2 linked regions of the Cricetulus griseus genome follow. The protein of the gene in region 2 interacts with the protein of the main gene of each other region in a biochemical or structural test. Links are inferred from orthologs where the notes say so. Each region holds a gene or a part of one and is shown on either strand. Other genes may lie near its edges. The genes, in order: Csnk1g1 and Clspn.

Evidence for each region.
Region 1: of the proteins of Clspn (region 2) and Csnk1g1, one has a biochemical effect on the other in vitro, tested with the Homo sapiens proteins (2 studies listed by BioGRID). The link is inferred for Cricetulus griseus from reciprocal best matches to the Homo sapiens genes CLSPN and CSNK1G1.

Annotation. Positions count from the first base shown.
Region 1 is NC_048597.1:177,613,478-177,617,305, reverse strand, and holds part of Csnk1g1 (casein kinase I), read right to left. Parts: intron 1,643-3,828; coding exon 1,408-1,642; intron 1-1,407.
Region 2 is NC_048595.1:26,456,592-26,460,419, forward strand, and holds part of Clspn (claspin), read right to left. Parts: intron 3,018-3,828; coding exon 2,788-3,017; intron 1,860-2,787; coding exon 1,751-1,859; intron 1-1,750.

The sequences.
Region 1 (3,828 bases), on a different chromosome or scaffold from region 2:
CACACACACACACACACACACACGAGAGAGAGAGAGAGAGAGAGAGAGAGAGAGAGAGAGAGAGAGGAGAGAGAGAGAGAGAGAGAGAGGAGGGAGGGAGAGTTTTTTTTTTTTTTTTTTTTTACAAAATGGAGAGAACAACCAAAATGTTAGGACATGTTAGAGTTGACCTGAAGAACACTTGAACCTCACAAAAGCCCATTCTGGAGATAATGAGATAATTTTAATGGCAAAGGCAGTACATCAAGATGAAGAAGTACTTCACTTATCACACAGAGTAGATGTTCAAAACATACCTTGAAGAATAATAAAGATAACTACACATGTAATGACCCACTGGGCTAAACATTCTATCCAAGTCACATTTTGCCTGAATGTATATCTGTGTATCACATTGTGTTTCCTGGTACCAGAGAGATCAAAACAGAGTATCAGATCTCCTGCAATTAGAGTTACAGATGGTTATGAGCTGCCATGTGGGTGCTGACAATGGAACCTAGTCCTCTGTAAGAGCAGCCAGTGATCTTAACTGCTGAGCCATCTCTTCAGCTCCTTAATCCATATTTTAGTGAAACCTCGTCACTAACACAGGCACAAGCCTGATGTTTTCCTTTTGTCTGCTAATACACAGGGTCATACAAGTGTAAATACAAGTCTCATTATTAAACCTATTCAATTACTACAATCTTGTTGCAATACCTCAAGTTCTTAGCGGCTGGAGAGATGGCTCAGTGGTTAAGAGCCCTGGTTGCTCTTAACCAATCTATATTGGATTCCCTGCACCCACATGGCCGCTCAGAACAGTCTAACTCTACCAGGAGGCTCCACACCCTCTTCTGGCCTAAGGGTACCACAAATGCATGAACACAGACGTATATGCAAACAAAACACTCATGCAATAATAATAATAAAATGAGATCTAAAATAAAATAACCCAAGTTCTTGGGGCTGGAGAGATGGCTCAGAGATTAAGAGCACCGACTGCTCTTCCAGAGGTCCCGAGTTCAATTCCCAGCAACCACATGGTGGCTCACAACCATCTGTTATGAGATCTGGTGCCCTCTTCTGGTGTGCAGATATACATGGAAGCAAAATGTTGTATACATAATAAATAAAAAAAATCTTTAAAATAATAACTCAAGTTCTTAAATTACTGAGGAATGAAGCAGTAGGAAACACAGTTGAAAAAACAAAAACAAACAAAAACCACAGTTGAAAGAATCAAGACTCCATTAGTATTAAGGTATTTGGGAACATCACTAACTTACCATTTCAATCTTTTAAGTATAAAAAAGTCACTTACCTTGTGATACAACAAATGGTACAAGCTGTAGTGCACAATGTAATGCACAATAAAGTGCTATTGGAAAAGAAAGTAGTTCATATGACCTGCCCTTCTAAACACACCTTTGCCCAGATGCGTGTTGATAGACATGTATCGTGCAGTTCCAGTTAAGCTTTTGTGCTCTCTGTAAGGTATGTGTTTTTTGGTTTCAGGATCAATGTATTCCTTGGCCAGTCCAAAATCTATTATGTGTATTACATGTTCTTTCTTATTGCCTTGTCGGCCAATCAAGAAGTTTTCTGGTTTGACATCTCGGTAAATGAGATTCTTTGAGTGTACATACTCCATTCGAGAAAGCTAAAAGAAAGAAAAAAATAATGGAAATACCTTGAAATAAGCATGTTGGGGGAGTGGGTGTGGGGAAACACGATCCAAAATGCCCCCCCACCCCCCGCCCCCATGAGACAGGCTCTCACTATGTAGCTCTGGCTGTCCCAGAACTAACAGGTTTCAAGGATGAGATCAAAGGCACATGCCATTATACCTGGCCCAAAATATTTCCTAAAATTATGCTTGTCTGTCTGTCTGTCTGTCTGCCGGCCCGCCCATCCATCCATCCATCCATCCATCCATCCATCCATCCATCCATGGGCATGGTGTGGTGATCCGAGTATAACTTGCAGAAGTCAGTTCTTTCTACCATGTGGGCCTGAGGACTAAATTTAGGCTGTCGGGCTTGCTTGGTGGCAAGCATCTTTACCTGATGAGCCATTTCACTGCCCCCAAATATTTTTTTCAGTTTTATTTTTTTCCTTCTCATTGTTTTCTGTATCACTATGCTGTCTAGGTTAGGCCTTGAGATCTTGAACTTAAGTAATCTTCTTATCTAGATCTCTTAAGTAGCTGGCACTGTATGTATATATGCCATTGTCTGACTCAGCATAAGGTTTCAGAAAATAAAATTAAAATAAAACTCATCTCTTGGCTGGGTGTGGTGGTGCATGCCTTTAATCCCAGATGGATTTCTATGAATTGCTTTATATTGGAGAGTTCCAGGACAGCCAGGGTTACATAGTAAGGCCCTGTCTCAAAAAAAAAAAAAAAAAAAAAAAAAAAAAAAAAAAAAAAAAAAATCCATCCCTTATTTATCTTGCACTTCACTGACTTACAAACCAAAACTCCATTTTAAGGTTTTGGTTTTTCAAGACAGGGTTTCTCTGTGGCTTTGGAGGCTGTCCTGGAACTAGCTCTTGTAGACCAGGCTGGTCTGGAACTCACAAAGATCAACCTGCCTCTGCCTCCCGAGTGCTGGGATTAAAGGTGTGCGCCACCAACGCCCAGCCATTTTAAGGTTTCTTTTGTTATTTTATTTATTCATCTGCATGTTTACAGTTTACATATACCAGTTGTGTGCATGTGCCCACAAGGCCAGAGGCTGTCAGATTCCCTGGAACTGGAGTTACAGGCAGTGTGTTAGTTGCCTGACGTAGGTGCTGCAAATCAAATTTAGGTTTTCTGCAAGAGCAGTAACTGCTCTTAACTGAAATCTCTAGCACACCCCATTCCTAGTACTTTTATTATAAATATATAACAACTATCAAGATTAGGAGGAAAAAATGAGACAGTACAATTTGGCTAACATGATAATATTTTTGTAACTTGCAAGCATGCACTCTGAGACAGGTATAGCTGCCACTTTACCTCCTGCCCACACTATGTGTCTTCAGGTGCTCAAGACTCTCTAACCCAAATCTTGGTACTACAGAAATACAAAGGACGTGCAGTCTTTATGCTATAGTAACCACAGCTTGAAATAAGTAACTGTAACATTGTCTCAAATTTCATTAAGTAATTCTATCTATAAAGCATCTCTACATAGCAAAAAGGAGACTTAAATATTTAGATTTTGGTCAGTTTTCAAGTGTTTCCAAATTGCTGCTGGATGATGGTGAAACCACCACTACTTTGAATTAAGATGTACCTGAAGGCTGTGGTGGTACACATCCACCTTAGCACTCAGGAGGCTGAAGCAAGAGGATCTAAAGTTCAAAGCCAGTCTAAGCTGGTGAGACCATCTCAACAAAACAAAACAAAAAATAATATAAAACAAAGCAAAAAAACTCAACATTTGGGCTGGAGAGATGGCTCAGAGGTTAAGAGCACTGAGTGCTCTTCCAGAGGTCCTGAGTTCAATTCCCAGAAACCACATGGTGGGCTCACAACCACCTTAAATGAGATCTGGTACCCTCTTCCAGCCTGCAGGCATACATGCAGGCAGAACATTGTATACATAATAAATAAAATCTTAAAAAAAAATCCAACATTTGAATTCTTCCCTTGAGGGCCTAAAAAACTTCTCATAGAGACTGTTCTAACTGCATAAGCTGGAACTAGTATGTAATTTGGCCGCAAAGCTTCTTGGCCAGCCCCAAAGTATATAATATGCCAGGGAATTAAACATCTCAGCCACATGATTTTGAAAACATTAGTGCAGGGGGTAGTACTTTCAATCTTTTCTAGTTTTCAACAGTGAGAGAAGGAGG
Region 2 (3,828 bases):
ACCAGTTTGTGGTCAGCCTGAACCAACAGTGAACTCCAGGCCAGTCTGGCCTGGATAGGAAGACCTAGTCTCAGACAACAAAAGCAGATTTCTTCCTTTTAAAGTCATTTAATGTGTATAAGTTGTATTTAGCAGATGTGCTGGCTAGTTTTATGTCAACTTGACACAGCTTTAATCACCAGAGAGGAGTGAGCCTCAATTGAGAAAACGCCTCCATAAGACAGAGCAGTATGTAACCCTGTAGGGCATTTTTTAAATGAACGATTGGGGGGAGGCAGGCAGGGGTGTTGAGAGAGCAGGCCGAGAAAACCATGGGGAACAAGCCAGTAAGCAGCACCCCTCCATGGCCTCTGCATCAGCTCCTGCCTCCAGGTTCCTGCCCTGCTTGAGTTGCGGTCCTGATGTCCTTTGATGATGAACAGTGAGGTGAAGTGTAAGCCAAATGAACCCTCTCCGCCCCCATTTTCTTTTTTGTCATGGTGTTTTATCACAGGGATAATAACCTTAACTAAGATAGCAGACCATTGCCTTTCCCTCTTCATTTTGGCTACTACCAAATAATGTAAAACAAATTAAAAAACCTGTTTTATTCATTTATTTATGAGAAAGGAGTTCATGTAGCTGAGGCTGACCTTAAGCTTTTTTGCCTTTGTTTATTTATACATTTAGTGTGTGTACATGCAACAGCAAGTGTGTCTGTAACTACACACATGCCATTGCCTGCATATACATGCAACATCATGTGTATCTGTAACTACACGCATGCCATTGCCTGCATATACATGCAACATCATGTGTATCTGTAACTACACGCATGCCATTGCCTGCATATACATGCAACAGCATGTGCGTCTGTAACTACACACATGCCATTGCCTGCATATACATGCAAGAGCATGTGCGTCTGTAACTACACGCATGCCATTGCCTGCATATACATGCAAGAGCATGTGCGTCTGTAACTACACGCATGCCATTGCCATAACTACATGCATGCCATTGCCTGCATATAGAGTTCAGAGGACAATGTGTGGGAGTCAGTTCTCTCCTTCTACCAGTGAGACATCAGGGATTGAACCCAGGTCTTTCGGCTTGAAGGCAAGTGCCCTTACCCACTGAGCCATATGCCTGATTCTGAACTTCTGACTCTCTTGCTCCTGTTCCCTGAATACTGGATTCCAGGTATACACCACACCAGGCTGTGTGGTTTTTTGGGGCAGGTCTTTCCCATGTCTCTCACTTGTCCTGGGGCTCTTTATATAGTCCAAGATGATCTTGAACTCCTTCCTGATCCTACTCCCTTTACCACCTAAGTGCTAGAGTTATAGCTGCTTACCACCACACCTGCCCACTTGAATTTTTACTTTTAAGTCTCTGTGTGTATCTCTCATGCTTTTGAGACAAAATTTCAATGTATAGGCTAGGTTGGTCTGGAATTCATGATCCTCCTGTCTCAGTCTCCTCAAGTGCTGAGATTGTAGACATCTTTTGAATCTAAGTGGAATTGCTGGACCAGATGGTAATTCTATTATGAATTGTGAGAAACCATCATATTGTTTTTCCTAGCAGCTCACCAATGGTAAACAGAGATTTTCCTTGTCTTCACCAATACTTAGTTGTTTATATAAAACTGTAGTCATCCTAATGGATGTGGGGCAATGTCTCTGATTTGCCTTAACCAAAGTTATTTAGTCTATTGCTGAACCCAGTGAATGGGATCCTAGGGTTCCTCCCAATCTTTGAGACTCACCTGTCCGTTGGGAAAGAGCCTGAGCAAAGAGCAAGCGCCTCTTCCATAGGATCATCTATGCTGTTCTTCTCCTGGTTGCTCAACTCCAATGGAGCCATAGGGGAGGCATCTACCTCAACAAGGAAAAGATCAATGAGGAAGGAGATGACACCTTTACTCTTCCTGGCCATCTAAAGACCAGCCAGCTCAATTCAGTTCTTAGGTAAAATGTTTAAAAAGTCCACTGATGGGGGAGGTCCTTCTGTGCATGCTTATCTTATTGGTTGCTGAATAAAGCACTGTTGGCCAATAGGGAAGCAAGATAGGTGGGACTAGGAGTTGAGGAGAATTCTGGGAAATGTAGTAAAGAGAAGTCTTGTGATCTAGGCAGGAAATGACATAACAGGCAGACTCAGAATATAAGCAGGGACAAGCAGGAAATCGCTCTCTTCCTCCTCCTCTCTTCTCTCTGGAGCCACCATGTGATCCCGGCAAGAGAAGATGCCTGCTGCTGGCATTCAATAAGATAAGTCTTTATAAAATATATAGAGTAAGAAATCCTAGTCATTGGCCATCAGCACTGTACCTAACATTAATCTCTGTGTGTTATTTTGGGCATCCACATGGTGGCGGGGCTCGGGCGGCTTGGTGGAAAGATTTATCGCTACAGTTCACCATCCATCCATTCTTTCAACAAATCCTCATACTTACTGTGTGCCAAGCCCCTGGAAGGCAGTAATGAACAATATACCCCAATTACCTCATAGAGCCTATGTCCTATTCCAGCACGTAACATTTACTATATACCAGATAAGGTTTTAAGCTTTGTATATAGGTTAAGTTTAAGTTATACATTATGTGGCCGAAGCTAGGGAAGCATTCCTAAGCTGACACTGTCATTCTAAGAAAGCAAGAGCTGTAAAGGTGAGGAACTAGGAATGAATTCCAGCACATGCCTGTTTTCCGTACACTCACTTCAAGGGGCAAGGGCTTCCATCAGGGACACTGATGTAAGCTGTGTGGCTGTGGTAAGCCAAGAACTTTCACTGAATATTTACCTTGGGAAGGAAATTTGCCGGAGCAAAGATTCAGAAGTTCCTCCATGTTTTCTTTTTTGTCACTCCCTGTGGGTTGACATTTCTCTTCAGACTGAGATGTAAACTGTCCAGTACACAAATCCAGCAGCTCATCCATATTGGCATCCATGGCATTCTCATCCATACTGGCCAGTGGCAACTGAGGCTTCAAAGCTTGATAGCGATTCCGGTGATTTCTAATGTTTAAAAATCTACAAGCACAACCAAGTGTCAGAAATGACCCAGAGAAGAGACAAAACCGCCAGTAAAAACTGTCTGATTTCCAACACCAGGGTTAGAAGCTGAACGTGGCCAGCAAGATGGCTGAGTGGGTAAAGGTGCTTGCTGCCAAGCCTGATGATCTGAGTTCAATTCCCAGGATCCACATGGTGGAGGGAACCAACTCCAACAAGTTGTCCTATGATCTTCTCATGTGTATTGTGGCATTTGTATATGTGTATGTGTGCTCACACGTACATGCACACAAGATAAACAAAATGTAATTTTGAAAAATTGTAAAAAGAAAGACAAAAAGAAGTTGGTGTGAATTGTGAATTTCAACTTGATGGGGCTTAGGATCACCATGGAAACAAAGCTGTCTTCAAGGGATCATCTAGGTTAGGTTGACTGAGGTAGGAAGACCCAACCTAACTGTGGGTGGTACTAATCCATGGGCTGGGGTGTCCTATACTGACTGAAAAAGAGAAAAGGAGCTGAATGTAAGCATTCATTGCTTTCTTCTTCCTGACTATGGAGGCAATGTGCCCAGTGCCTTCTGCTCCTGCCACTGTGACTGACCTGCCATAACACAGGGTATCCGCTGGAACCATAAGGCACAGTTACCATTCCTTCTTTGTGATGTTTGTCAGGTTTATCACAGTGATGAGAAAAGTAACCAACATACTGAGCCTCAATCCAGAAAACAAGATCCAAATGTTAGCCTCATGCTAACCTAAAGAGGGTGGTGAAGCTTTGTCAAAAGGTCAAGTACAAAAGTTGCCTCCTAGGGATGGGTGTTATATC